Xenopus tropicalis: one gene and its partners. The protein of the gene in region 3 binds, or shares a complex with, the protein of the main gene of each other region. Links are inferred from orthologs where the notes say so. Each region holds a gene or a part of one and is shown on either strand. Other genes may lie near its edges. The genes, in order: snrpd1, cwc22, cwc15, scnm1, dhx16, bcas2 and rnf113a.

Region 1 (4,493 bases), on a different chromosome or scaffold from region 3:
GCTGCGGATGCGACTTGCCCACCTACATCACACACATATGCATAAGCAGCGATTTGTGGCACTCACTTGTTATGCACATGTGAGTGCCACAACATGGCTGCCTGAACCAGGACCTTCCTCCCAGTGCTGGCAGCCTAGCACTGTAGGGGGCTATAAAAAAAAAAAAAAAAAAACAATTATTATATAAAGGCTCTGTTAGCCCACGCTAATAATTTTGTCTCAAAATATCAGTCATAAAACAAATTTAGATAAATGGTTTTACTACCCCCTTTTGTTTGCCCCTAAGTCACACACCTACCAATCCGATTTTGCTAGTACTTGGTATCATAAAATTAATCAAAAGGACAAACCTGTACATTTTCAGAGCCCCTGAGCTTTTAAAATTTGCCATCCATTTACCCCAAAATTACAATCCTTCCATCTTACCTTCAGTAATATGGAGTGGCCCAATCCGGTTAATCAAATAGGAGGAGTGTGGTTTTGGGTTAAATTGATTGAATCTCTACATGTATGACCCTAGATTAATATTGTTTTATTATAGTGTCCTCCCGAGTAGTTTAATTAGCTTGTGCCACACAATGGTATCATAGAATTATAGCAAAGGACAAAGCACCTTTGCTATTGTTGCTGAGCATTAGTCTGCCATCCATTTACCCCAACATCATATGCTTGACCCTCTGACCAATAAGATTGTGCAGTTCCATAGTATCTGAGAAGAAACTAAGCATTCATTTTTAAACCTTGAACATAACCCCATACAAAGTGCTGGCAAATACTTTAACAACAAAATGGGCAGAATTGACCCATATGCCAATCCCTTTAGTAAGGTAAAAGTAAATAATGCTCATTATTTAATCCCTGAATTTTAAAGATATTTTTTTTTTTTTAAGACTTTGTTTTATTCTGTCATATGAAGTTGTGTTGTAAACAATGATGACGCCTTGATTTTCATTTTTTTTTACTTTTTTGTTTCTTTTAGGAGTAGATGTGAGCATGAATACGCATTTGAAAGCCGTTAAAATGACAGTGAAGAATAGAGAGCCTGTTCAATTGGAAACATTAAGTATTCGAGGAAATAATATTCGTTACTTCATTCTACCAGACAGTTTGCCTCTTGACACGTTACTTGTTGATGTGGAGCCAAAAGTTAAGTCAAAGAAGAGGGAGGCTGGTAAGTATAGTTTTCATATTTTTTGTTCTATTGTGTATATAAAAAAAAAAAAAGTTGTTATTGGAACACCAAAACCGTTACTGGTGCCAAAACATAACATATTAATTTTGGTTAAAAGGACACACATCTATACAACGGGCAGTTAGGCAGGTTTAATTCGGAGCAAAAGGTTGAACTCTGTGGATATGAGTCACTTTTTCAACCTGAATTATTGTATTACTTTTGTTTAAATAAAACCTGTTAGGTTGCCAGTTTGTCCTGATCCTGTTTCAAAGATGCCCAGAATAGTTTTTTCATCTGAAAACACCAATACACTACTTACAGTGTACAATTCCCACCACCAAGTCAGTAATAAACAAATTAAATAAACGTGGACCCAAAACAGAACCCTGCAGCACCCTGTTAAGAACCCAAGTAGAGAATGCATTAAAAACTACACTTTCTAACGCAGTTGTGTAGCCAGTTTCCTATCCAAACAGACGGTTCCCAAAAGCACCAACTGTCAATCTGGGTCACTTTTTATAAATTAAAGGAGAAGGAAAGGTTAAGTCACTTACCTTTTACCCCGGGCTGGTGCCCCTGTTAGGAGAAAACCGCACCAAGCTGGGGTACCTGCAGCGAGCGCTTCCTTCTGTCGGCAAAATCCCTGGGCTGGCTTTTTTGTTTAAGTTTGGCTTTCCACTCTACTGCGCAAGCGCCAGAAGCAGGAAGGGGAGACGCTCGCAGGTACCCCAGGCTGGTGCGGTCTTCTCCTAACAGGGGCACCAGCCCAGGCTAAAAGGTAAGCAATTTAAAGTCACTTGGGGGTGCCTTACATTTTGGCATCCCCAGGTGACTCAGCCTTTCCTTCTCCTTTAAGCCATGTTGAGCTGCGTGTGATGACTGCAAATTGTATGTAATATTTATTCAGTAAGGTGATCATGTTAGATGGGATTACATAATAGAAACCTCTATCCTGCCAGAGGAACCCAGAATGGTGAACTATGTCAAAGGGCAGCTCAAATCTGTAAATATTAGCTGTACAGCCTGCAGTATGTTGGTATTTATTAATCGGGTTGCATGGGCTTTTTAGGTAAAACTGTAGAAACAATAGTAGGATTGCCTGTGTGGAGATGGCCTCTAAACATTAAAACAAACTTGTAATTCCGTTGATTAACAATGGCTAGAATGTGATTGTTAGTTGTGAAATGCAGTGCTAAGGGTACTGGCACACAGAAATTTGTTGCCTGTAGTAAATCTGCGTTACCACAGCAACAAATCCCCTGAAATTGCCTTCTCATTCATTTACTTTTGCATCATTGCAAGTAAAACACTCACAAGTGGTTTCCACATGTCGGCTGTTGGGGCATTTGTGTGTCAGGCTCCACTCATTCCCCTTCCTCTGTTCATTGCATAGGGGTGGGAGACAGGAACGAAGAGATTAGGCTGTCTTTAAAAGCCAGTCCAAAGTATCTTAAGGTGTTAAAGGCAGAGCATTTTATCAACTATTTTTACATTTTAAATAATGTTTTGAAGTAGTTAGCATTGCTTCATCCCATAATATATCATCCACTGCTTTTAATGCAGTAAGCATAAATATAGAAGTATTAATTTCCAACAGTAAGAGCTAGGAAGGTGTTTGATGTACTCCCTGAAGTGGTTAGATTGGTATATTCATTAGATACAATGGCATACAAAACTGCATTAGGCAGAAGTAGTGTTTCAGTGTGCAGGTAGTGTGTGTACATTATGGGATTTGCTATGAAGGTATATTTCCTTTATATCTACTTCATTATTTTATATGGTTGGAACTATTTTGCAAAACAATATAATGCCATAATATACATCCGAAATTCGAAGATCTGTTGGAAACTGTTACTTGATATTTCTGTTTTAGCAAATGTATGTATGTGTTTTGTTTTTTTTTTTTGTTTGTTTTTACTTTACTGATCCTCACCTGATTTCTGTTTCTAAACAGTTGCTGGCAGAGGAAGAGGGAGAGGCCGTGGTAGAGGCCGAGGGCGAGGAAGAGGTAGAGGAGGCCCAAGAAGATAATATATGTGAAAACTTCGCCATTAGAGGATGTTTTTGTACAGTTTTTTTTTTTCATACCTGAATGCACACAAATACTACTTCATGATATTACTTGTACACTGTACTAGTTAACTACTTATTGAGGCATATTTACTAATGCTGGGTGCTTTAGCTTGGTACAGTAACCATATAGAATACATTTTGATCTACTGGATGTAGAAAATACATTTTAATTGGTTACTGTTGGTTACTGCACTGGTGCTTAGTGTTAGTAAATGATTCCTGTTATGTACACTGCATCCCTGCCACACATTTGTATATGACCAGCATTAGTGTTATAGGAATCCTTGTGATGTTATATTCTTCACTGTTCCTTTACATTAGTAACAGTCCATTCAGTGCATTGGACAGGTGCCAGTAACAACTTTCTTCTTGCATTCCCTTCAATGCTTTGGTCAAATACAAATATTTTTCAGGTTGCTATTTAAATTCACAAATCGGTTAAAATCTGGGTTCTGCAACTAGGTAATTGATATTGAATATTGGCATTCAGTTCTTTTTGTAACAAAGTTGGTTGTGTCTTTGTTTTTAATGCATATAAGTTGCATTTGAAAGCCTAATAAAAAAAAAAGGTTTTTCATAGATGTTTGATTTTTTTTTTATCCCAAGATGTTAAAACATGTTGGAGCATGTTTTTTTTTGTTCTTTTTAATTGTATGTTAAAGAATACTTAGTGCTTGTTGGGCAGTTCTGTGTGTATTTAAGCTGGCAGACCCAAGCTTGAAGCCGTCCGTGCTGCTCTTATCCAAAAATATGTGGTAGAAAATGTTAATAACAACCTGTACTACATGGCCAGGTAGTTTCCATTAGGACAATTACACACAGTGTAATTTGTCTGGCTGCTGTCAGCAGCAACTAAAGCCTTATTACCAATCCTGATACTATTGTGCCAAGTTAAAGTCAGGAATGATGTAAAGCCACTGCCCCTACCACAAGAAGCTTTTTATTTTCTGTCCCATAGTTCAGGCAGTGCTCAGGTTTTCATCTTAGGTTACATGCCGAACATGGATTTAAGTGTTGTTTCCCCTTCTTGGTTGCCAGGAATGCAACTTCCTATCTAACAGATGCTTTTGATCAGAAATACGTGTATGTGGCCCCACATGTTTAAATTCCTTTCTCTCCTGGTAAGCCCTGCACTTATACCTGTTCTTGTTCTGTCATTAGCAGCTTTTTGATGTTCATTACTTTCAGCTAACTCTGCTTCTGATAGTCCTACCCCAGACAAAGCTAAACCTGATTATACAGCCCA
Region 2 (3,772 bases), on a different chromosome or scaffold from region 3:
AGAAGAACTGGAGCTACTGTCCGAGTCAGAAGAAGACTCCGACCCTGATGAGGAGTCTGAAGAATCCGACGACTCAACATTCTGTTTCTGGGTCATGATCATTTTAGGAGCATTCTTCAGGTGTTCACGCAGTTCATCCCTATGCAATTGAATAAAGAATATACAAAGGCATTAGTCTAACAATGTTGGATGAACTAAAGAAACATGTTAGTTTATGCCTGAAAATCAATCTCTTACGTTAACCCGCCAAGTCCAATGGAGGTAAAAAAGTTGATAGCAAAGCGGGTGTTCTTTGGGTTGTCCATAGGTAGCAATCCTTGAAAGAAAGGCTGAAGTGTTCTGTTAAAGGGGAAAAAAAAGAGACTTATACTTAGAATACACAATGTGTAAATACATGATCCAAGTTCCTTTAAATAAACTGCTTCAATGGCAATTATCTCAACACTGAGCCAGAAATACTTGGATTTCAGGTTTAATGTCTAATGGCTGGCATTAGTTCTAGTTTTGCACAGCTCTGTGGAAGTTGGAAGGCAGTTACTTGCAAGGCAACTGAGTCAAATCATCACCCTGATTTTGTTATTTTCCATACACATTTCCCCACAAGAAATATTTTAAGATGAAAGAACATTTTCATTTGCATTATTCCAAGCTTCTGTAAAGGTAATACTGACTCAGCTTGCAGTTTTAGCCCAGTCTCAATGGGAGATAGCTACAAATTACTGTTCTCCTTCTGTACGGTTCCCATTGTGTTTATAAAGCCATTACAAGGAGCCAGAATGGAGCATGGGCTTGTGAGCCAGGGGATGTGGCATGCCACCAGTGAGAGAATGACCAGCCAACAGGGTCGTATATGGCACTTTCCATTGCAGGGATAATGCTTGAATCTCTAATGAAAGATAACATATCTATACTTACCTATGTATTCCCATGTAATAAGCACAATTGAGTTAGAAAAATATAAAGCTATAGCAGCCCTTTCAAGAGAAGGCACTTAGTGTAATAAAGATCCAATATACTTGCAATAGTTGCATTATCTAACACTTACATGTCCTTAAGTCTAGCATTTAGCTTTGGTAGCCCCATATATTCACACAGCTCCTGGAAAAATATTTTGACAAATATTCTGCTGGACGAGGTGGTTGTTTCTTCACTTAGATTTATACACTCCAACACCTGTAAAGCACAAGCATAGAAAAATAGCTTAATTAGACATTAGAAAAGACTAACACATTAGTACACTGCTAAGGGGCATGGTCTAAAAATACAAAGAATGTATTAATGTCTCCTCCCACAAATATTTGCATGAAGAAAAAACATGTCATCCTAAGTAATTTTGCAAATGTCAAGGGCCTGATTGGTTGATTGTCCCCAGAATAGTGCAACAGCTCTACTAATGTTTGCCAAAACTACTGCCTGGACCCACTGCCCAACCCCACCTGAAAATGCCTTATCCACAGCCCAAACTGCAACCGACTGACCACCATTAAACAGGAAGTGTGGTTGCTGCAAACTGGAAGTTACATCATGGCAGATTCTGTTAATGCCTATAAGAGGGGCCTGGATCCAAGGCTATTGAAATTCTAAAATCTACAGTTAGTATTAATGTTTGTATATATAGTTTATGTATGCGAGTGTATAGATTGGTAAGCATAGGTTTGTGTGTGCTGGGTTTACTTGGAAGGGTTGAACTTGAGGGACTGGTCTTTTTTCAAGCCTATGCAACTATGCTTAAAGGAGTAATATATACAGTGGAGGAAATAATTATTTGACCCCTCACTGATTTTGTAAGTTTGTCCAATGACAAAGAAATGAAAAGTCTCAGAACAGTATCATTTCAATGGTAGGTTTATTTTAACAGTGGCAGATAGCACATCAAAAGGAAAATCGAAAAAATAACTTTAAATAAAAGATAGCAACTGATTTGCATTTCATTGAGTGAAATAAGTTTTTGAACCCTCTAACAAAAAAAGACTTAATACTTAGTGGAAAAACCCTTGTTTGCAAGCACAGAGGTCAAACGTTTCTTGTAATTGATGACCAAGTTTGCGCACATTTTAGGAGGAATGTTGGTCCACTCCTCTTTGCAGATCATCTCTAAATCCCTAAAGTTTCGAGGCTGTCTCTGTGCAACTCTGAGCTTGAGCTCCCTCCATAGGTTTTCTATTGGATTAAGGTCCGGAGACTGACTAGGCCACTCCATGACCTTAATGTGCTTCTTCTTGAGCCACTCCTTTGTTGCCTTTGCTGTATGTTTTGGGTCATTGTCGTGCTGGAACACCCATCCACGACCCATTTTCAGTTTCCTGGCAGAGGGAAGGAGGTTGTCGTTCAGGATTTCACGATACATGGCTCCGTCCATTTTCCCGTTAATGCGAATAAGTTGTCCTGTGCCCTTAGCAGAAAAACACCCCCAAAGCAAAATGTTTCCACCCCCATGCTTGACGGTGGGGACGGTGTTTTGGGGGTCATAGGCAGCATTTTTCTTCCTCCAAACACAGCGAGTTGAGTTAATGCCAAAGAGCTCTATTTTGGTCTCATCAGACCACAGCACCTTCTCCCAGTCACTCACAGAATCATTCAGGTGTTCATTGGCAAACTTCAGACGGGCCTGCACATGTGCCTTCTTGAGCAGGGGGACCTTGCGAGCCCTGCAGGATTTTAATCCATTGCGGTGTAATGTGTTTCCAATGGTTTTCTTGGTGACTGTGGTCCCTGCTAATTTGAGGTCATTAACTAACTCCTCCCGTGTAGTTCTAGGATGCTTTTTCACCTTTCTCAGAATCATTGACACCCCACGAGGTGAGATCTTGCGTGGAGCCCCAGAGCGAGGTCGATTGATGGTCATTTTGTGCTCCTTCCATTTTCGAACAATCGCACCAACAGTTGTCACCTTCTCTCCCAGCTTCTTGCTAATGGTTTTGTAGCCCATTCCAGCCTTGTGCAGGTCTACAATTTTGTCTCTGACATCCTTGGACAGCTCTTTGGTCTTTCCCATGTTGGAGAGTTTGGAGTCTGCTTGATTGATTGATTCTGTGGACAGGTGTCTTTTATACAGGTGACTAGTTAAGACAGGTGTCCTTAATGAGGTTGACTAATTGAGTAGAAGTGTCTAACCACTCTGTGGGAGCCAGAACTCTTAATGGTTGGTAGGGGTTCAAAAACTTATTTCTCTCAATGAAATGCAAATCAGTTGCTATCTTTTATTTAAAGTTATTTTTTCGATTTTCCTTTTGATGTGCTATCTGCCACTGTTAAAATAAACCTACCATTGAAATGATACTGTTCTGAGACTTTTCATTTCTTTGTCATTGGACAAACTTACAAAATCAGTGAGGGGTCAAATAATTATTTCCTCCACTGTAGATGAGCAAGACAATATAAGAGAAATACTATAGATATGAACCGCATGTGAAAATCCTTCCTACAACCCGCAGCTTAGCAGTTTTTTTGTGGGTAGCCTGCAGGTGCAACCTGCTGTAGGACCATAACTTTAAGCTTCAGCTTCATGAAACATAGTTTCATCCTGGATAGGGTTCACATCACATGACAGCTGTAGGAACAATCTTTTAATGTAAAAGAAAAACTAGACCATACCCTAGCTGCCTTGTGCATTCCAAACACCTAATCCTTAGGTGTAGGGGCATGGGATCTGTGAGAGTTTCTTCACTTTCTAAAATATTTATTTTTACATGTTAACTTTTGACACTGAAGTTGCTTTCTTCTGCTTCTGTACAATGTTTCTCTCAGTAAGAAGAGCCTTGCGGGCTGCAAT
Region 3 (4,397 bases):
TAGGCTGCTCATGCATGCTCTCATCCTATCCCGACTACTTGACTACTGTAACCTGCTGCTAACTGCCCTCCCTAACTCCCATCTTTCCCCACTACAGTCTATATTAAACACTGCTGCCAAAATTCTCCTCCTCTCATCCAGGAGAGTTCAGGCCCTTCCCCTGCTAAAGTCCTTATCATGGCTTCCTATTAAACAAAGAATATCTTACAAACTCCTTCTCCTAACCTTCAAAGCCCTCCATTCCTCTGCTCCTCACTACATCTCTTCCCTTGTGTCGCCGTACATTTCTGGTCGACTCCTCTGTTCCTCGCAGAGTAACTGCTTGGTTACGCCCCCCCCCCACTACTACTGCAGTTTCCCAACTTGCTGCCCCTTATATTTGGAATGCCCTCCCAGATTTCCTCCGAAGAAAATCCTCCCCAGTGTTCTTAAAACTAAACTTAAAGACTAACTTTTGGAGCACTCACCCAGCACCTGATCTGGGAACTGGCACTTATATTGTAATGTCACCCACTGTGACCTACAGCACTTATATTTGCCTATTTGTGTCTGTAAGTTACCCTCCCATCTAGACTGTATGCTCTACGGGGCAGGGACCTCCATCCTCTTGTGTCTTTGACTCTTAACTTATTGCAACTGTATCTTGTATTTATCTGTATTTATTGTTATACTTTGTATTTATCTATTATTTTAATAACCTCCTGTTTGTATTAATGTATTCTACTGTACAGCGCTGCGTACATAAGTACCGCTTAATAAATATATACATACGAAAAGTCCACTGTATAAACAAACCCCTCCCTTCCCCCAGGGGCAGCCTTTAGTCATTAGGCTCTGTGATAAGGAACAGGTATTAGGATGAAGACACATGGTACTTAGTAGCAGCTATTTGTCACGGCTACTAAACGCCAGAAAATCCCCTGCCACAGACAATACTGAGAATTGCCTCTGCTAAAACACACAATTTAGAGACAATTATCAGTAAATGATCAGCACTGTCTATTTTAGTAGCCGTGACAAGTAGCTGCTACTAGTAGCTCCGTGTGTCTTCACCCATATACAGAGGTGTCTCATAATGGTTTGTAAATAATAACAAAAAGAATGTTCAACACAAGCACAAGTGAAATAATCTTGAAAAGGGGGATATACTTCCCCTTTAATGACCAACATAATTCACTGTGCCATGTTAAGGACTACAGAACAAATATCTTACATGCCTTAGCCACTCACATACCTGTATTTGATCTTAGTGTGAGAGGGGAGGTCTCTGCTGGAATACTGCTTTGAGAGCTGACTGAGATCGGCTTCCCCTTTACCTCTGCCGCCTCTTGCTGGTTCAAACGTTGGCCTGGCCGCGGTTGTCATCTTTTACACAACTGTTTCACACACAAATACAAGAACTGTTTTAAAATTCCTACTTTCATAAGCTGACTTTTTCTACACAGCTTCAGGAGTCAGAAGCAGCAGCGCAGAGCACAGGAAAGGCAGAATGATACTACAGGTATGGGACCTGTTATCCAGAATGCTCGTGACCAGATAAGGGATCTCCTACCTTATGTCTGGTAAAAATCATTCAAATATTGAATAAACCCAATAGGCTTATTCTGCCCCAGTAAGGGGTAATTATATCTTAGTTGGGATCAAGTACAGGTACTGTTTTATTATTACAGAGAAAAGGGAATCATTTAACCATGAAATAAACCCAACAGGACTGTTCTGCCCCCAATAAGGGGTAATTATATCTTAGTTGGGATCAAGTACAGGTACTGTTTTATTATTACAGAGAAAAGGGAATCATTTAACCATTAAATAAACCCAATAGGGCTGTTCTGCCCCCAATAAGGGGTAATTATATCTTAGTTGGGATCAAGTACAGGTACTGTTTTATTATTACAGAGAAAAGGGAACCATTTAACCATTAAATAAACCCAATAGGGCTGTTCTGCCCCCAATAAGGGGTAATTATATCTTAGTTGGGATCAAGTACAGGTACTGTTTTATTATTACATAGAAAAGGGAATCATTTAACCATTAAATAAACCCAATAGGGCTGTTCTGCCCCCAATAAGGGGTAATTATATCTTAGTTGGGATCAAGTACAGGTACTGTTTTATTATTACAGAGAAAAGGGAATCATTTAACCATTAAATAAACCCAATAGGGCTGTTCTGCCCCCAATAAGGGGTAATTATATCTTAGTTGGGATCAAGTACAGGTACTGTTTTATTATTACAGAGAAAAGGGAATCATTTAACCATTAAATAAACCCAATAGGGCTGTTCTGCCCCAATAAGGGGTAATTATATCTTAGTTGGGATCAAGTACAGGTACTGTTTTATTATTACAGAGAAAAGGGAATCATTTAACCATTAAATAAACCCAATAGGGCTGTTCTGCTCCAATAAGGGGTAATTATATCTTAGTTGGGATCAAGTACAGGTACTGTTTTATTATTACAGAGAAAAGGGAATCATTTTTAAAAATTTGAATTATTTGATTAAAATGGAGTCTATGGGAGATGGCCTTTCTGTAACTTGGAACGTTCTGGATAACAGGTTTCCAGATAAGGGATCCCATGCCTGTACTTTCAATTGTCCCTCAAGTTGATATTGCTGGCCATAGGCTTAACCAGCCGAGTTCCCTTACATTAGCAGGGGACTCACAGACTGGGCAGGAGGGTACAGTATTGCTAAGTAGATAAAGCCGAGCTGTAAGCTTCCCCAGCCAACAGGGATAGTGGGGGGCGATATATTGCTCCTAGAGGGCCTCAATCCCCTATGACTAAAATAATCGCTGCCGTTCAGCCTGAATTCCCCTCTTCCCAAAGGTGCGATTTCGCTCACCCCGTAACAGCGCCTCAGCCCCAGCACCAAATCCCACGGCGACTGGCGTCACAATTACCCGTCGCGCTAGTTCTTTCCACCGGGAAACTTCCGGCGCTCGGAGTACGCGTCACGTAAGCAAGAGGGCGTTCCAGCTGATTGGAAGCCGTCGGCGGCCATGTTTGTTGTGGCTATGTAATGAATCAGGGGGTGTATGTGCGGTAAAGGGAGAATATTATATAACACTGTGCAGGGCTTCTGACTTCTCTGTGTTGGTTTACATAAGAACATTTCCGAGCAGTCATTTTTCATAACTGAGATTTCTCTTTACTAAATTAGTTGCCCTTTTTTGTTATTCATTAATTCTTTTTAATAATTTTTATGTAGGGACCCCAAGATTTGGGCCCCTGTGCCTGGGTTCCCCTTTAGACAGGCATACCAGTGGGTGGCCTTGTGGGATATGGACCTAAGGGTGGTCCTAATTGTGTGTGTGCTATAGTTTCTAGTTTATTGTCATATACAAATAACAATGAAGCATCATTACCGTTATGAAATTTTTTGACCTGTGTTCCCCCCAACTTTACATAAACATCTACAATTTTTTTTTTAACTTTTTAATTCATCTTTAATTATTATATTATTATAATTATTCTTTCCAGATTAAAAGAGAGTTTCCTCTGCAGTTCAGCAGTGACCACTAGGTGGTGGTGTTCTGCAATATAAAAGGGAATGGACTCACAAACCATGAGGTCTTCTTCCTGGGACTTCACCTCTCTAAGAGGTTAGCTACAGGAGCCAGTTAGACATTTTATTGTCACTCTAGGAGTGAAAGGATAGATAGTGTATGTCTATGAAGATTTTCATTCATCCAGGTCATGGTATATCTAGTATAAATAAATGTAAGGGCTCTGGCACAAGGGGAGATTAGTCACCCGCAACAAATCTCCCTTGTCACGGGCAACTAATCTCCCTGAACTACCATCCCACCGGCGAGCATGTAAGGATGGTACACGCTGCGCAGTTGCCTCGCGAGGCATTTTCGGCGACTTGCCGAAATCGCGCCGCGTGTGCCATCCCACCGGCGACTTACATGTTCGCCGGTGGGATGGCAACTGATGGCAACTCGGGGAGATTAGTCACCCACGAACAGGGAGATTTGTCGCGGGCGACTAATCGCCCCATGTGCCAGAGCCCTAAAGCAACTGGACTTGTTTGTTACCAAACAAGTCCAGTTGCTTTAAATTTATTTATACTAGATAGATAGTGTATTTAGTTGGGCAGTTTGAGGCCCCTCCGAGGAGATCAGTGAGGTTATCACCTCCCGGCATTACTGGCCGTAGCTCAGGGAAATTCAGTGGCTGGCTCAGGTCACAGTATATTCCCAAACGGGAGATTATCTGGAGCAAGAGAAACTCCAGGTTTGGATATAAGGGAGAGATACCGGAGTCTGCATTTATTACCACTGAATGCTGTTTGGAATAAAGAAGTTTGTTTGGTTAATCAGCAAGTCTCCCGGTCAGTTCCTCCCCAGGCGGATCACCAGCAACCGGGTAAGCACTCACCCAAGGGGCAGCA
Region 4 (4,469 bases), on a different chromosome or scaffold from region 3:
AATCCCTCTGCCCATGTACCCTGCCAACCTTACCCACTACTAATCCCTCTGCCCATGTACCCAGTACCCTGCCAGCCTTACCCACTGCTAATCCCTCTGCCCATGTACCCAGTACCCTGCCAGCCTTACCCACTGCTAATCCCTCTGCCCATGTACCCAGTACCCTGCCAGCCTTGCCCACTGCTAATGACTCTACCCATGTACCCGGCAGAGCTTCCCTCTTTGAAGACAGATTGTAGGGAAGAGAGGTGGGAGTCTGGGAGGCTGGTTAGTAGGAGATTGCAGTAATCTAAGCGAGAAAGGATAAGGGCATGGATTAGTGTTTTAGCTGTTACTTGTGAAAGAAAGGGGCGTATCTTGGCAATATTGCAGAGGAAAAATGGCAGATAACCCCAAGGCAGCGTGCAGAATTAACAGGGTTAACGGTCATGCCATCAATAGTCATGGTGAAAGGAGGAGAAGTGATATTTAAGACCAAAAGAAGAAATAAGGTCTCCTAAAGAGAGAGTGTACAGGGAGAACAGCAAAGGGCCAAGCAAAGGGCCCCACACTGAGCTGAACCCCCACACTGAGCTGAGCCCCCACACTAAGCAGAACCGGGGTAGGGGATTGGTTAGTAAGAGCGACAGAGAAGGAGCGGTTAGAGAGATAGGAAGAGAACCAGGATGCAGCCTGATCCCGGATACCCAGAGAATGGAGACTTTGTATAAGGACTGAATGTGCCCTGACAGTGTCGTGCACCAAATTCACCATATTTTCATTTCCCTTCATGTTTATCAGGCCCACCGGCTGTATCTGAACCCAATGCCTTCCTGATAACATCCTGGGGGGTTGGTTCTAGGGTGGGGCAGGTAAGGCATGTCCCCTGGGGGGGGGAGTAGAGAACTGTACAAAGGGCATATGAGACTAACAGCTGTTAGATATTACCAGTTATACACAAGGGGTCTCCAGCTGTTGCTAAACTGCAACTCCCAGCACCCTACACCCTATAATAGGAAGGTACCGTACTCACCGTGACGCCGTATCTGAGTGCCAAGCCCTGCAGTGTGTCCCCGGGCTGGACCTGGTGCTCCAGTTTGCGGATCCGGGCCGGTGAATAGGGCGACTGGACTAGGCTGCCATAGGAACGGGTCCTGGTTCCATGGAGAAGCCCAGAGTCTCTGTGCCCAGAGTTGGATGCCATGGCTTGTGAGCTCTAAAGGGCAAGTTAACTATACATTGTCTGACTGGGCAGAGGTGGAGGCAGAAGTGGAGGCAGAGATGGAGTCCCTGCAGCCCTCAGTCACATGCTGGGCTACTAATTCAATCAGACTGAAAGAAAAAGGGAGAATTCATTAGTATCACATGACAGCACTGACAGGGGTTTGCCCAAGGGGGTTGGGCTGGGCTAAAAGCTGCCCCAATACCCCCAGCACAGACCCACAGCCCTTCCAGCTGCCCAGCACAGGCAAGTACCCAATAATACACAGCTCACTGCTGGGCAGGGGTGACAGGAGCAAGGCATGCCGGGAGCAGTAGTGCAGCACAGGCTCTGCCCCAGGATTCGCGGCTCTCACGGAACTACAAGTCCCATAATGCCCGGACTCCGCCTCCTCCTCTCCGGAAATAAACTACATTTCCCGTAAGGCCGCAGAAAGGAGTACGGTGGCCGCGCAGGGTTACAGCTCTCAAAGGGGGCGCTACAGGCTGGGCTATGTCGTTTAAACGGGATGGGGATGATCTGAGCCAGCTGAACGTTCTAAAGGTACGGGGTGATACCCATACAGGGGAGGGGAGGGTGTCTGGGGGGGGAAGGGTAGGGTATGGTGTCTAGAGGTGGGGGGAAGGGTGGGGTAGGGAAAGGTAGGGTGCCTGGGGGTGGGGGGAAGGGTAGGGTGTCTGTGGGTGGGTGGGGTAGGGTGCCTGTGGGTGGGGGTAAGGAAGAGTAGGGTGCCTGGGGGTGGGGGTAAGGAAGAGTAGGGTGCCTGGGGGTGGGGGTAGGGAAGGGTAGGGCGCGTGGGGGTAGGGAAGGGTAGGGTGCCTGTGGGTGGGGGTAAGGAAGAGTAGGGTGCCTGGGGGTGGGGGTAAGGAAGGGTAGGGTGCCTGGGGGTGGGGGTAGGGAAGGGTAGGGCGCGTGGGGGTAGGGAAGGGTAGGGCGCGTGGGGGTAGGGAAGGGTAGGGCGCGTGGGGGTAAGGAAGAGTAGGGTGCCTGTGGGTGGGGGTAAGGAAGAGTAGGGTGCCTGTGGGTGGGGGTAAGGAAGAGTAGGGTGCCTGGGGGTGGGGGTAGGGAAGGGTAGGGTGCCTGGGGGTGGGGGTAGGGAAGGGTAGGGTGCCTGGGGGTGGGGGTAGGGAAGGGTAGGGCGCGTGGGGGTAGGGAAGGGTAGGGTGCGTGTGGGTGGGGGTAAGGAAGAGTAGGGTGCCTGTGGGTGGGGGTAAGGAAGAGTAGGGTGCCTGTGGGTGGGGGTAAGGAAGAGTAGGGTGCCTGTGGGTGGGGAAGGGTAAGGTGTCTGTGGTTTTGGTTTGGGGTGTGGGTAGGGTGCCTGTGGCAGAGTAGGGTGCAGTTGTAAGGGGGAAGGGTTAATTTAATATCCCATTTCCTGTCTCCCTACAGAAGAGGCGAGTGGCGGATCTGCTGGCCAGTTACATCCCGGAGGATGAGGCTTTGCTTCTTAAAAATGGCAGGTAAGGGTCTCTCCACTGATTGGTTCCCTCGGTGTGGGCCCCTGGGAGGGCTTGCTTCTATATACCCTTATATTCCGGGGCCCCTGCCTATCCCTCTGTGTAACTGTGTTGTGTATATAACAGCTACGCTTGCACCGTGTGCCATCACCGGCCCGTCTTCAGTACCATCGATATGTTGTCTGTGCACAGAAGCGGGAAGAAGCACTTAGCCGGTAAGTTACTGACTAGAAAAGAGATCCATTTCCTGTCTTATGACTTCATTTCCTCTCCAGATTTCTGACATAACGTCCTGTCTGGCATTTGCGGATCCGAAGACTTGCCTAGGGATGTTCCCCTGTTGATTTATTAATTATTTATTTTTGTATTTATAACTTCCTGTCTGACTTTGTGACTTAACTTCCTGTTATGACTTCATTTCCTGTATGCCATTTTAATGTGGAGCCTGTAGCTACTGGTCTCTGCCCCAATACCAGGTTTTATTCTGTCTCCTCCCCCATTATCTTTCTATACAGGCCCTCTTCTGTTCATATACCAGTTTCTCATTCATTCTGCTGCCTGGTTGCTAAGGTAGTTTGAACCCTAGCAACCACATAGCTGCGGAAAACTGCAAATAATAAAAAATGAAGACCAATTGCAGATTGTCTTAGAATATTCTCTATATCATACTAAAAGTTAACTCAAAGGTGAACATCCCCTTTAATGACTGGTCACATGTCTATAATACATATTTGTGCAATGGGCCGCTGACTCCCTCTCAACTCTCCTACAGGTCAGCAGCGGTATTACGGCAAGAAGCTGGAGCATAACAATGAGATCCAGAAGAGGCGCCATTTTGATTTTGTACAGGCAGAAGATGCAGGAGAACAGGTGGGCAGATTTCTCTTTCTCCAGGCTATTGGCTATTAGGGGGCTGTTCCTGCTGAATTGTGCTTAGTACAGGGGAATCCCTATGTGCCATAGTTTTATGGTATCTCTCTGTACAGGCTATGAGCAAACTTAGGGGGTTGTTCCTGCTGAATTGCGCTTAGTACAGGGGAATCCCTATGTGCCATAGTTTTATGGTATCTCTCTGTACAGGCTATGAGCAAACTTAGGGGGCTGTTCCTGCTGAATTGTGCTTAGTACAGGGGAATCCCTATGTGCCATAGTTTTATGGTATCTCTCTGTACAGGCTATGAGCAAACTTAGGGGGCTGTTCCTGCTGAATTGTGCTTAGTACAGGGGAATCCCTATGTGCCATAGTTTTATGGTATCTCTCTGTACAGGCTATGAGCAAACTTAATGGGCTGTTCCTGCTGAATTGTGCTTAGTACAGGGGAATCCCTATGTGCCATAGTTTTATGGTATCTCTCTGTACAGGCTATGAGCAAACTTAGGGGGCTGTTCCTGCTGAATTGTGCTTAGTACAGGGGAATCCCTATGCTGCCATAGTTTTATGGTATCTCTCTGTACAGGCTATGAGCAAACTTAGGGGGCTGTTCCTGCTGAATTGTGCTTAGTACAGGAGAATCCCTATGTGCCATAGTTTTATGGTATCTCTCTGTACAGGCTATGAGCAAACTTAGGGGGCTGTTCCTGCTGAATTGTGCTTAGTACAGGGGAATCCCTATGTGCCATAGTTTTATGGTATCTCTCTGTACAGGCTATGAGCAAACTTAGGGGGCTGTTCCTGCTGAATTGTGCTTAGTACAGGGGAATCCCTATGCTGCCATAGTTTTGAGTAACTTTTTTTTATTTGCTCTCATATCTGCCAGCGTCCACCAGGTCCCGCCCCTTTGCTGGTCCAGACAAGGAAGATTACCCAGCAT
Region 5 (3,772 bases), on a different chromosome or scaffold from region 3:
TAATTTTTCTAAAGATTCTGTATGAGGCATGATGTATTCATATGTAACAGAAGTCCCCTGCCTAAATACATACAAATCCAGAGATTGCATAATGGATACCTGTAAGATGCCAGATCAGGCTCAGTGAGAAATTCCCGCAGTAACATCCCATCTGTCATATACTTCAGCACTGTGCGCTCAGATGTGCAGTCTTCAAACCGAATACTATATCCCACCTAAAGCAAAAAAGTGCGAGTAAAGCTTTTGCTACATACAGAAACTCCTCTCTGTAGTCTTTGTTTTTTAGAATGGTGTTAAAAATTCAAATATCAATAAAGGAACATAAATGATTTAAAGGAACAGTAACACCAGAAAATGAAAGTGTATAAAAGTAACTAACATATAATGTGCTGCTGCCCTGCACTGGTAAAAGTTGTGTGTTTACTTCAGAAAGTCTACTATAATTTATATAAATAAGCTGCTATGTAGCCATGGGGGCAGCCATTCAAAGGAGAAAAGGCACAGGCACATAGCAGATAACAGATAAAACACTATTGTATTCTACAGAACTTTTCTGTTATCTGCTATGTAACCTGTGCCTGTTCTCCTTTTTTCCAGCTTGAATGGCTGCCCCGTGGCTACACAGCAGCTTATTATATAAATTATAGTAGTGTTACTGTAGCAAACACACCAGTTGTACCAGTGCAGGGCAACAGTGCATTATATTTTTATTACTTTAAAGCGCTTTCTTTTTTTAGTGTTATTGTTCCTTTAAGGTGTGGTTGAGGATGTCTCACAAAGGTGCTCTATTGACCATGAAAATATGTCACACCTTGATTTTCACAATTGGTTGGATGCAAACACAGTGACGATTTAGGAAAGCTTACTTGGCAAAGTAGTTACCATATGAAACAGAGATATGAAAAATATACAAAAATGAAGAAAATGTGTGGAAATAAAAAAAAAAAAATTACCTCGTTGCCTAATTTAACACCCATCTCTTGAGAAACTCGTGCTGATACACTCATGGCAGCCACTCTTCGAGGCTGAGTGCAGCCAATCTTCAGGCCATTTTTAGTATAACCCTATAAAATAAAGAGGCAGAGAGTTTGTTTTTTTTAATAATACGGGCAGTAAAATATGTTTTTATACAATGAAAGTGTCAGTTACTGTGTCAACAGTGTAAATATTATGGGTTAGGATCCCTTGCTTTTCCATGTAGAATAACTGGTGATACAACTTACATGTTCGTGCAGGTACTGTGGTATTTGGGTAGTTTTGCCAGATCCAGTCTCTCCTTCAATTATAAGAATCTGATGATCAGAGATTGCTTGAAGAAGATCAGAACGATATGGGAAGACAGGGAGGCTTCGCCGAACCTCTTGTATAGACAGTTTCTTTCGTTCTGATTCTGACAAGACTTCAGAATTCTCCTCTTCCTATACGGAAAACAGAGGCTACGATAAGCAGAGACACCTACAATGTCATCCAATGTGCTCATAAAAACAAAAATGCTCCATGGGACAGCCACTAGTACCTCTACAAAAAGTAATACAAATGGTGAGCAGTATCACACACAAAACGTTTATTTGGTTCACAAAACAATGATAAATTTCTCCAAAAATTAAACCATACCAAAAAGAATAGAAGCATGTGACTGCTGCCTAATAGAGCACTTAGGTACCTCTGCTTTTTCCATTTTAAATCAGCAAGCCAGCCATTTATTTAGCAGTATATCAATTAAATCGACAAATTAAACTGAGACTTTTAACCCAGTCCAATTATTATTTATAAAATATTTATTTGTTTTATTTATAGTTTGTACAATTATTTTCAACATTACTGAGCCACCAATTTGCTGTTCTGCTGTACTAAGTAAGCCCTAAGTAAGTATTTAATGCTTTACGTACCTTATCTATTGTTCCCTTCATCTGTGCCGAGCTGACAAACTGTATGACCTCATTTTCTTCCATGACAAAATCATACTCCTTCTTCCCATGATCATGTGCATCCTTTGCTCCAAATCTCAGAGAGGCTGCCCCAATATGCTCCTCCTCCCACCGCCTTTGCTCTTCACGAGGGGCAAATCTTTCCTCAGACATAGGTTCCTCATAGCGATCAGGAATTTTCTGTGATAAGATAAGTGTAAAATTCACAACCCATAAAACATAATTCCCAAATGTATGCATTATACTTTTAGGCAAAAATTACTAAATGCTTATATACTTCTTAGGAGAATTGTATTAATATACCCAATTACTATTCATTCCAAGTGAGGAGTGTTTTAAAATGAACAGAGTTGCCCTAGTTACGTAAAACGAAATGAAAAGGAAACCTCCTACAAAATTGGTAAAACCACCTATTAAGAAACAATGCGGAGTTTATTCATACCTTACTCCTGTTTTCTTCTGGCATAAAATAGCGGTCATGCTTTTCCATCCTCTCTTTGTCCCCAGCTTTCTTGTATTCCTTTGCAAGGTCACGCACCCTTCGCTTATATTCAAGCTCCTTCTGCTCTACTGAAGTCAACTCAGGTTCCACAAAAAGATACTCCTCATCTGCGATCTCTGCCTCTAGATCCTCCAGCTTCTCTTTTTCTCTTTTATTTAGATATTCCCGACGGGACTTCTTCCTTAGCTCAGGAATCTAACAAGTTACAGGATGCACAATTGATGAAAATTATATTCCACACTGTCATACATTAAACTGTTAAGGAATAAGCAAGCTAATCTTATTATAATGTACACATATCTACATATCTGTGTAACTAAATGTTCTTTACTCACTAAAATGAGTAGGTAGCACATCATACTCATTATTTATACTTAAATACACACTAGAATTCATGATAGTCTAAATAACATTAACTGGATTTTTAGTTTTTTTTTTTATTTACACCAGCTATTGCTAATGCTACACATATACACCCCCTTTACATTTATGCGCATGACAAAAAAACCCTATACAGCAATACACAAAGATGTGAAAAACAAATGTGTCCCAAACTACAACATATGCACATATATTATCTCTCTCAATCTATCAGCACTCTTTATGTGGCCTTTTACCTTCATATGGTAACAGAATTCCTTAAAGGGATACTGTCATGATTTTTATGGTGTATTTTTATTATTAAATTACACTGTTTACATGGCAAATAATTCACTCTACCATTTAAAATGTTATTCTTAAAAAATGTAATATTGATGTGTAGGCAGCCATCTCAGTGCACTGCACCCAAGTCTGAGCTTTCAGAAAGAGCAAGCGCTACACATTAGAACTGCTTTCAGGCACGCTACTGTTTCTCCTACTTAATGGATCTGGAGAAGTCATAACCCGGACTTGGATTTTTTATTATTGAGTGTTGTTATCATATCTACCTTCCCATGGTTCTGCTGATCGGTTGCTTGAGGGGGGGGGGTTGAAGGAAAGGGGTGGTATCACTCCAACTTGCAGCTCAGCAGTAAAGTGTGACTAAAGTTTATCAGAGCACAAGTCACATGACTGGCACCCTGGGAAATGAAGAATATGGCTAGACCGATGTGAAATTTCAAAATTAAATATAAAAAAATTAATTTCAGTGCAGGATTCTGCTGGATAAGCTCTATTAACCGATGCATTTTGAAAAAAAACATGTTTTCCCATGACAGTATTCCTTTAAAGAACCCTGTAATAACAGTAGCTATTGCATTAACCCTTTTACTGCCAGCCATTTTGGTCAAAGCGGAACTTGTATTGCCAGACAGTTTTTGAACATTTTGCACTGTTTCCCTTTAGGGGCCTTTCCTCGGGG
Region 6 (4,071 bases), on a different chromosome or scaffold from region 3:
GAGAAGATGGGGGCTACTGGGGCATCTTTACTGGCACAGATCTTCCCTGCTGAAGGGCTGTGTGGCTGGTACAGAAGCCCAAAACATAATGTACAGCATTTCTGCCCTACTTCTTTAGTTTCCATGCTATTTGCAGTATTCACACCAAGTCAGAGCCAGACAGATAGGGGAAAAGTTTCATTTGCTGATGCTGGAAGTGTCTCTGGGCTCAGTGCTGCTTGTGTCTCCGCCTGCACAGAACAGCAGGGGGCGCTCCTGTTACACCTTCATGATATTAACATTGTAAAAACAGATGAGACCCAGGAGGAAGGGCAATGCCAGGCTTTCCCACTGTATCTCTATGGCCTATAGAAGACAGTTCATTGGTTTTTACGCTGATTTCCTCTCACTGTTACACACATGACCCGTTATCTGTCGAAGCTGCCCATGTGGGAAATCCGTCCCAGCTCAGAACATACCTATTTCCCTCTGGTGAGATCAGGCACTTGTGCAGAGACGGGGGTGCTATCTAATATATAATGGTGTGCCCCCACCCAGGCCAGGGTTACGGTTGTGTGGGGTGCTCAGTACAGACCCCCAGGAGCGCACAGGATGATAAAAGTGGAAGATTTCTGGAAAACACTTTATTATTAATATTACAGTGAAAAACAAGTCAGAATTTCCTTATAAAAGCCGGTATGTGCCCGGCCTACGAGGCAGCACTGGGGCATTTGGGTGAAACAGGGAGACCCATCCCTGCGCCTATCAGCACCCAGGCAGAGACTACTCGCTACATTTCCAGAGTGAAGAGCCATAAAGCAACCAGAACCCCCAGCAGCGCTGCCCAACATGGCGCCAGAGTCTCTGCAGCAGGACCGGTGCTGTTACCCTGGAACCTGTAATCCTTGGGGCAGGGCCTTAATAATCTTCAATATTTTCCTTATTCTCCCCGCTCCTCTCTTTCAGCTGATAGACTTCATTCTCCATTTGCACAATTGCTCTCTCAATCTCGTAGTTTTTGCTCACAAGAGACACCCACCTGCAACCGGCACAGAAAGCAAGTTAGAGACAGACGAAAATGACTACCAGTTCTATTAAAGCTAAAATATTAGCATCCCATAAATACCATACACTGTACTAAGCACAATTCAGCAGGAACAGCCCCCTAAGTTTGCTCATAGCCTGTACAGAGAGATACCATAAAACTATGGCACATAGGGATTCCCCTGTACTAAGCACAATTCAGCAGGAACAGCCCCCTAAGTTTGCTAATAGCCTGTACAGAGAGATACCATAAAACTATGGCACATAGGGATTCCCCTGTACTAAGCACAATTCAGCAGGAACAGCCCCCTAAGTTTGCTCATAGCCTGTACAGAGAGATACCATAAAACTATGGCAGCATAGGGATTCCCCTGTTCAGCAGGAACAGCCCGCTAGGCACACTCAAAGCCTGTGTGTACTTCATTCATGGAAATACAGTATAGGGGAGTAGGTATTCCCTTGATAAGTTCACCCTAGGTGTGAACAAAATGCACAAATCTCACTTACGTTGACTCCATCTCTCTGAGTCGGGCACCTGCTGTCAGCTGGGAGTTCTTTCTCTGCCAGTTCAAGTCCTGAATCTTTTTCCTGTTCCGGTAACAAGACAAATAGTGAAAGCGTTAGAGCTGTTAAAATGGAAGTGTGCAACTGCTAGTAATACCCCAGGGCTAGGAACTACCCCACGTAGGTAACTCGAAGCTCATCCCAGTAATTACACAGGAACTGAGCTCTAAATCTCTGCACTTCCTGCTTCTGGGCTGCTCTCTTCCCCACGGCCAGGGAAGGATTATATATATATATATATATATATATATATATATATATGGTTAGTATGGGCTTAATGCCGTCTCACCGTAACTTCTGGAGATCTTTCTGCGCGCAGTCGATCATATGCAGCAGGTTCCTGGGAGGAGACAGAAGAATCACGTGACTGAAGGGCGGCAGTATCATTGGGTCATGCTATATCCTGTGCTGTAAATCAACACCCCCCCCCCCCCCCCCCCCCAACGCCATGTTCCCAACTCACTCGTTATAGACTTTCCAGGCGTTACAGCCGTGCTGGGACATGAGCTCCAGGTTCTCTATACGGACGGCCTGGTGTTCCAATTGGGCCATGGAGTTATTGACACATTCCTGCCACGCGGTGATGTCGTTCCTCTGGCCGGATAGGGGGGCCGGTAACTCATACCTAGAATCAGAGAGAGGGGTATGGTATTTCCACGGATACCCTTCAGCACAATGAGACCACATGGAAACCACAGGGCTGTAAAGCAATGCACAGATCTTGGTCCAGTAACCCATAGTAACCAGACGGCACTCACCTCTTCATGCTGAGCAGTTCGAGGGGCTGGCGCGACGAAAGTCTTTCAAACTCGTTCCTCATGATTTCAGTCTAAATAAAATGAATGAAAGTTGGAATCTTGGTCTCCTCTGTGAAGGGAACATGCCCCCCACCCACGTGATATTAGCACCAGTAGGTGCCAGGGTGGGCTCTGTGCATGCAAACCCCTCGGGGTTATGGGACTATGAAAGCAATCTTTGGAGAACTGACAGACATAAGGACGAGTAGTAGCAGAATGAATAATGAAGTATTAATATTTTGCAGAGATATCAAGTTGCTAGGGTCAAATTTACCCTAGCAACCAGACAGTGGTGTGAATGAGTATAGGGGAGGGGCTGGATAAAAAGTAACAGTAACAATAAAATTGAAGCCTCACAGAGCAATAGGTTCTTAGTTGCCAGGGTGAGTTCTCTAGCAGGGAAGCCATTTGGTTGGCCAATGTGCAACCACCGTGAATAGAGCAGAGGGGCACCCAGTGTAGGGTGCTGCAGAATAGGGAGAAAGCCATTACCTCAAATGCGGAATAGTCGGGGGTGGGCAAGTAACTCAGGTAGTTCTTTGTAGGCCGATATCTTCTGGTCTCCTCTTCCACCAAAGCTGCAGCCTGAGAGCAACACAGACCGGTTATTTACAGTAGAAATGCCCCCAATGGGAGTCATGTGACACACAGGGGCAGCACAGACCGGGTATTTACAGTAGAAATGCCCCCAATGGGAGTCATGTGACACACAGGGGCAACACAGACCGGGTATTTACAGTAGAAATGCCCCCAATGGGAGTCATGTGACACACAGGGGCAGCACTGACCGGGTATTTACAGTAGAAATGCCCCCAATGGGAGTCATGTGACACACAGGGGCAGCACTGACCGGTTATTTACAGTAGAAATGCCCCCAATGGGAGTCATGTGACACACAGGGGCAGCACAGACCGGGTATTTACAGTAGAAATGCCCCCAATGGGAGTCATGTGACACACAGGGGCAGCACTGACCGGGTATTTACAGTAGAAATGCCCCCAATGGGAGTCATGTGACACACAGGGGCCGCACTGACCGGTTATTTACAGTAGAAATGCCCCCAATGGGAGTCATGTGACACACAGGGGCAACACAGACCGGTTATTTACAGTAGAAATGCCCCCAATGGGAGTCATGTGACACACAGGGGCAGCATTGACCGGGTATTTACAGTAGAAATGCCCCCAATGGGAGTCATGTGACACACAGGGGCAGCACTGACCGGGTATTTACAGTAGAAATGCCCCCAATGGGAGTCATGTGACACACAGGGGCAGCACAGACCGGTTATTTACAGTAGAAATGCCCCCAATGGGAGTCATGTGACACACAGGGGCAGCACAGACCGGGTATTTACAGTAGAAATGCCCCCAATGGGAGTCATGTGACACACAGGGGCAACACAGACCGGGTATTTACAGTAGAAATGCCCCCAATGGGAGTCATGTGACACACAGGGGCAGCACAGACCGGTTATTTACAGTAGAAATGCCCCCAATGGGAGTCATGTGACACACAGGGGCAGCACAGACCGGGTATTTACAGTAGAAATGCCCCCAATGGGAGTCATGTGACACACAGGGGCAGCACTGACCGGTTATTTACAGTAGAAATGCCCCCAATGGATGTCATGTGACACACAGGGGCCGCACAGACCGGGTATTTACAGTAGAAATGCCCCCAATGG
Region 7 (4,545 bases), on a different chromosome or scaffold from region 3:
AAATGCATACTCAAGGGTTTCATCAACACAGTGACTTTGGGTGCAGAAACAGAAGGTTGCAAATATGAGTGGAAGCTAAACTGTTCCTTTGCTAACAGAAGCCAGCTATAAGATTAATCAGTCCACAAGTTAGAAAATAAAAGTAAAAAACTGACTGCTGCTATGGGTAATTGCTCATACTTGTGTACTTAAATTAGGCCCAGTATAAGTGAAACTAGCTGTGAGTAAAACTTGCAGTGTTACATAATAAATAATAGTAAGGGAAGAGAGAATAAAATATGGGCAAAAAGGGCCAAAGGAACAACAGACATTTAATGGAAAGGGGTACAACACAATCCAGCAACTGACCTCCAAACCCACAGAACCCAGTCTCCTTGTAATCTTTGCAAATATCTGGCTGGTAATCCCAACGTACTGTGGCTCTGAGGTGCTCTGGGGCACGTATTGGTCCTTTCCTAAAATGATAAAAGTTAAAGTTATCAATGCAGACTAAACTATTAGGATTTAATCACCCAGTTGATTGAAAAGTGAAATGTTTCTAAATTAAAACAGAATGGAAAGTGGGAGGGGTACACGTACCTAACCATGCCAGAGGATGCATTGCCCATAGAGGTATCTTTGGGTTTCACAAACTTCTGGTAGTTGTGGATTCCTCGATAGATCTTGTCATCTTCCTTCCCCTTCAACTCCTGTCAGATTAAAGCAAAATAAATAGTGGGAACTAAACAGAGTGTCATCTATGAAAAGGAGAGTATTACAATATTAAAGAAAGTAAAGTGAAGAGAAAAAAAGCACAGAATTTTTAAAGAAACTGCATGTAAGTCATGCAGAACACTGCATGCTTTACTAACACTTATTGCATTCCTTAGTGATCCCCAACCATTGGCTCGGGGGCAACATGTTGCTCACCAACCCCTTGGATGTTGCTCTCACTGCCCCCAAAGCAGGTGCTCATTTTTGAATTCTTGACTTGGTGGCAAGTTTAGGTTGAATAAAAACAAGATTTGCTAACAAATAAAGCCTCGTAAGCTGATGGTGTGCATAGAGGCTACCTATCTTATTTGGCACCTCCACAAACTTTTATGGCACTTGTGTTGCTCTCCAAGTCTTTTTACATTTGATTGTGGCTCATGAGTAAGAAAGGTTGGGGTTCTCTGCTTTAGTGGTTCTCTCATAGTTTAAGGTGAATATATAATCCACTGCATCACATACTAAATACTCACTTCCTGTACTTTCTGGCTCCTCTCAAAAATTGCCTGAGCATCCTTGTCTTTTTCAGTGTCTAGTTCATATGTAGCTGTGGCTCCCATGTCATCTGGCCCTACTGGTTTCTGCAAGAAACAAAGAATGCATACATAGTAAGAAATGGGGGGTGTCTTAGACATGTCATTCTATAAATACAGATTTTTTTTCAATGCATCATTTATATTGAAACAAGACAGACAGCATAGGCTGATTCACAAACTGAATAAAATATCACAAAGAACTAACTGATGATGGGTTTCAAAGATTTTAACATTTATGACATAAAGCCTGTGCTAAGAATAAGCCAATTCCAAAAGAGTCTCTTACCGCAGATCGGGTAGATTTATAAGACACAGTGATAGACTTCGCTGTTTTGTCCTCATCTTCACTGCTGCTTGCTTTGTAATCTTCACAGTCCTTTGGTTGCTGCCTGCTCTAAATCACACACAGAGGTAAATACAACTACCAGAAAGCTCAAGAGGACAAACACTACACACATCCCTTCTGTGGCATGTTAACGTCTGTCCTGCACACAGGGTGACAGGCTGGAGAGGGTTATGGCATGTGTTGTGCTTCCATTCAGCCATTAGCTGCCAGGAGAAGATGATGTGGTATCTATATCTCTAAACAGAGAGGTCTACAGGAAATATCTGGGAGAAGTGTTGCTGCCCACTCTGAAAGATTAACTGGCAGAAAATTTTATAAAGCTCCTTAATGCTCCTGGGGCCTCAGGGTGACATAGTGAATACCTGTGACTCTAACCTTCTGAATCATGGGATTAACCACATCCTTCTTTATCCTCCTTATCACTGGACCTTTCTCTTCCTCGCTGCTCTCTGCAAACAAATCAGTAAAGGACTGATCAGAATAGTACAACACACTTATACAACAGATGCATCTAAGTACTATTCTGAAATTCGATAAATTTAAGACACCAAATGCATGTGAGCCCAGTGACATAAAGGTATGGGATCCCTTATCCGGAAACCTGTATCCAGAAAGTTCCAAATTACGGATCTCCTATAGTCTCCATTTTAATCAAATAATTCACATTTTTAGAAATGATTTCCTTTTTCTCTGTAATAATAAAACAGTATCTTGTACTTGATTCCCAACTAAGATATAATTAATCCTTATTGGAGACAAAACAATCCTATTCAATATTTAAATGATTTTTAACAAACTAAAGTTATGGAGATCCAAATTACAGAAAGACCCCTTATCAGGAAAACCCCAGGCCCTGAGCATTCTGGATAACAGGTCCCATACCTGTACCAATGAACAGTAAATGAGGCTGTATGTATAATTATATTTGTTGTTGTTAATGTTTTGCAAATACTTTGATGGGTTTGATTTTTGTTTTGTCATTTGGACCTTAATTCCCTGGTACATGCTACTGATTTCTAATGGTAATTATATCCAGCAAACAATACAGCCACCCTCACCTGCATCTCCTTTAAGATAGTGGTTTTGAGTAAGGAACAAAGTCGAATAGTTGGCCAATATACACGTTTGAAAATAAAAGCAAAAACCTTATTGGTTGCTAACAGCAACAACACTTGCGCAATTAGTTGTATCTGCGCTCTCTTCTGCATTTAACTCATTTACTCCATCCCAACACTTTGCTGAATTTTATACACGGTAAGCGTGTAATGCCTATAATACTATATTATAATAAACATTTATTTGCACTCCCACTTTCTCCTTGTCTCACCATTGTCCGATTCTTTGCGTTTCCGTCCCGCGAACTTTCGGGCACTTTTTTTAAACACGAAACTGCAAACTGGTGCGTTAGAGTCCGCCATTATTCCTGTGACGCCAGACTAGCTCCAGATTGCGCGCATTGGCTGAGGCCACTTCCTGTTTAGAAAGCGCACGCAGGCGCATTACCGGGGGGAAGTCGCGTTGCTCCAGTAGCAAGATGGCAGCGCGCAAAGCGAAACGTGTGAGTTCGAGCTTTGCCAAGCAAAGTGATGCCGAGCGCCACGATTTGGATAGCAAACTCGCAGCAGTACTGGGAAGTAGAACCAATGCCAACGCGGTGTTTGATATTCTGGAACATCTGGAGGTGAGTGCCCGCTTTGCAGTGTGCTAGCAAACAGTATAACAGCAGCCCTGACAAAGAAGAACATCTTTTGCACGAAACAGAAACACAACATTTTGTGTGACAGTATGCACGTCTAAACAGTGTGACTGGAAGTATTTTAAAGTTCTTATAACAGGGCTCGGCAACCAGTGATAGAAAAAGACAGATGGGAGATGGCCATTAGGGAAAAAAGGAAATGTGAAAAATTACATTTTTGCAGAGAGAGAGAGCTTTTAGCGAGGGTAACATATCAGATTGCTAAGGTTACCAGCCTACTCAACGTATAATTGATGTTATTATTAATCAGCAAGAAAGATCCTGTCTGAATATTTATTTAGAAAAGACTGCAGCCTACAGACAGGGCCAGGTGGGCAAGGCGTGACAGCGGTGGGCAGAGCTAAGATTGAATGCTCAGGTCTGAAAAGAGTGGAACTGCTGGTACATCAGGCCGAATTGTTGGCAGTCAGAATCAGCACTGGGTGGTGCAGGGAAAACAGAATGGCATGAATACATAGTTGTGGGTAATGGGAGAGGAAAATTCTAGTAGCAACGACAATTCCATGAAAGATTCTTTCTAACCTCTTGTCTTTTCTCATTTGCTTTCCCTATTACCTCCGCTGCCCTTTCATTCAGGACCTTCTGTTTTGATCTCACACTTTTCCTAACTTTCCCCTTTATCCCCCGCAACCTTCTGACTCTCACTTTTCCGATTACCACACATTTTCACCCCCTCCATAAACAGAACAACAAATGTGTTTGCGAGTTTCAGTTCTCCTATATTACGGTATAGAATCAGTCACACAGGAACTGTTCCCTTGTGATTATTGTTTGGTCTGTAACAGCTTGTATATTCCTCCCCATAGTAATCACAGTCTATGTACTCCTGAGAGCAACTTAGAGGTCTTTAAAAATTCTCTAGATACTTGCATGCAAGCTAATGTGTCGTTAAATCTCTTACTTGATAGTGGTTCCCTTCTCGGAACTCTGCCAGCGTCTTCATGTGACAATGCTCCTCTACAGGATTACTGTTCCACCAGCTAGAATTTTCCTTCTCCAATTTGAACCCCCCCCCCCCCCCCCCCCCCCACATATGATCTCTGTGTCCACTGTGCCGCTGCTGCCTCTTCCTGGACACAGGGGTCTTCTAAAGGGAGCTTGAGCCTTGTTGTTCTGTTTTGCACAACTATGTGTTTGTATTGTTAAAACCATGCTTT

Evidence for each region.
Region 1: cwc15 (region 3) and snrpd1 share a complex: the UniProt entries of both Homo sapiens proteins name them as parts of the minor spliceosome. The link is inferred for Xenopus tropicalis from reciprocal best matches to the Homo sapiens genes CWC15 and SNRPD1.
Region 2: cwc15 (region 3) and cwc22 share a complex: the UniProt entries of both Homo sapiens proteins name them as parts of the minor spliceosome. The link is inferred for Xenopus tropicalis from reciprocal best matches to the Homo sapiens genes CWC15 and CWC22.
Region 4: cwc15 (region 3) and scnm1 share a complex: the UniProt entries of both Homo sapiens proteins name them as parts of the minor spliceosome. The link is inferred for Xenopus tropicalis from reciprocal best matches to the Homo sapiens genes CWC15 and SCNM1.
Region 5: cwc15 (region 3) and dhx16 share a complex: the UniProt entries of both Homo sapiens proteins name them as parts of the minor spliceosome. The link is inferred for Xenopus tropicalis from reciprocal best matches to the Homo sapiens genes CWC15 and DHX16.
Region 6: cwc15 (region 3) and bcas2 share a complex: the UniProt entries of both Homo sapiens proteins name them as parts of the PRP19-CDC5L splicing complex. The link is inferred for Xenopus tropicalis from reciprocal best matches to the Homo sapiens genes CWC15 and BCAS2.
Region 7: cwc15 (region 3) and rnf113a share a complex: the UniProt entries of both Homo sapiens proteins name them as parts of the minor spliceosome. The link is inferred for Xenopus tropicalis from reciprocal best matches to the Homo sapiens genes CWC15 and RNF113A.

What each region holds. Positions count from the first base shown.
Region 1 is NC_030682.2:65,065,447-65,069,939, reverse strand, and holds the end of snrpd1 (small nuclear ribonucleoprotein Sm D1), read left to right. Parts: intron 1-979; coding exon 980-1,171; intron 1,172-3,128; coding exon 3,129-3,205; 3' UTR 3,206-3,824; downstream 3,825-4,493. UniProt on the Homo sapiens protein: Plays a role in pre-mRNA splicing as a core component of the spliceosomal U1, U2, U4 and U5 small nuclear ribonucleoproteins (snRNPs), the building blocks of the spliceosome.
Region 2 is NC_030685.2:63,129,986-63,133,757, reverse strand, and holds part of cwc22 (pre-mRNA-splicing factor CWC22 homolog), read right to left. Parts: intron 1,174-3,772; coding exon 1,046-1,173; intron 340-1,045; coding exon 238-339; intron 140-237; coding exon 1-139. UniProt on the Homo sapiens protein: Required for pre-mRNA splicing as component of the spliceosome. As a component of the minor spliceosome, involved in the splicing of U12-type introns in pre-mRNAs. Promotes exon-junction complex (EJC) assembly.
Region 3 is NC_030678.2:164,535,024-164,539,420, forward strand, and holds the start of cwc15 (protein CWC15 homolog), read right to left. Parts: upstream 2,879-4,397; 5' UTR 2,844-2,878; intron 1,377-2,843; 5' UTR 1,366-1,376; coding exon 1,235-1,365; intron 1-1,234. UniProt on the Homo sapiens protein: Involved in pre-mRNA splicing as component of the spliceosome. Component of the PRP19-CDC5L complex that forms an integral part of the spliceosome and is required for activating pre-mRNA splicing.
Region 4 is NC_030684.2:137,908,843-137,913,311, forward strand, and holds the start of scnm1 (sodium channel modifier 1), read left to right. Parts: upstream 1-1,598; 5' UTR 1,599-1,693; coding exon 1,694-1,744; intron 1,745-2,590; coding exon 2,591-2,661; intron 2,662-2,784; coding exon 2,785-2,873; intron 2,874-3,430; coding exon 3,431-3,528; intron 3,529-4,415; coding exon 4,416-4,469. Other genes in the region: lysmd1 (lysM and putative peptidoglycan-binding domain-containing protein 1), read right to left, coding at 1,013-1,183. UniProt on the Homo sapiens protein: As a component of the minor spliceosome, involved in the splicing of U12-type introns in pre-mRNAs. Plays a role in the regulation of primary cilia length and Hedgehog signaling.
Region 5 is NC_030684.2:75,485,536-75,489,307, forward strand, and holds part of dhx16 (putative pre-mRNA-splicing factor ATP-dependent RNA helicase DHX16), read right to left. Parts: intron 2,626-3,772; coding exon 2,371-2,625; intron 2,109-2,370; coding exon 1,890-2,108; intron 1,419-1,889; coding exon 1,224-1,418; intron 1,065-1,223; coding exon 954-1,064; intron 216-953; coding exon 100-215; intron 1-99. UniProt on the Homo sapiens protein: Required for pre-mRNA splicing as a component of the spliceosome. Contributes to pre-mRNA splicing after spliceosome formation and prior to the first transesterification reaction.
Region 6 is NC_030682.2:7,012,415-7,016,485, reverse strand, and holds the end of bcas2 (pre-mRNA-splicing factor SPF27), read right to left. Parts: intron 2,970-4,071; coding exon 2,877-2,969; intron 2,417-2,876; coding exon 2,346-2,416; intron 2,213-2,345; coding exon 2,051-2,212; intron 1,928-2,050; coding exon 1,877-1,927; intron 1,612-1,876; coding exon 1,531-1,611; intron 1,019-1,530; coding exon 898-1,018; 3' UTR 609-897; downstream 1-608. UniProt on the Homo sapiens protein: Required for pre-mRNA splicing as component of the activated spliceosome. Component of the PRP19-CDC5L complex that forms an integral part of the spliceosome and is required for activating pre-mRNA splicing.
Region 7 is NC_030677.2:156,458,219-156,462,763, reverse strand, and holds the start of rnf113a (RING finger protein 113A), read right to left. Parts: upstream 3,069-4,545; 5' UTR 3,051-3,068; coding exon 2,960-3,050; intron 2,082-2,959; coding exon 2,008-2,081; intron 1,681-2,007; coding exon 1,573-1,680; intron 1,332-1,572; coding exon 1,224-1,331; intron 690-1,223; coding exon 580-689; intron 456-579; coding exon 349-455; intron 1-348. Other genes in the region: noc4l (nucleolar complex protein 4 homolog), read left to right, coding at 3,167-3,313. UniProt on the Homo sapiens protein: Required for pre-mRNA splicing as component of the spliceosome. As a component of the minor spliceosome, involved in the splicing of U12-type introns in pre-mRNAs. E3 ubiquitin-protein ligase that catalyzes the transfer of ubiquitin onto target proteins.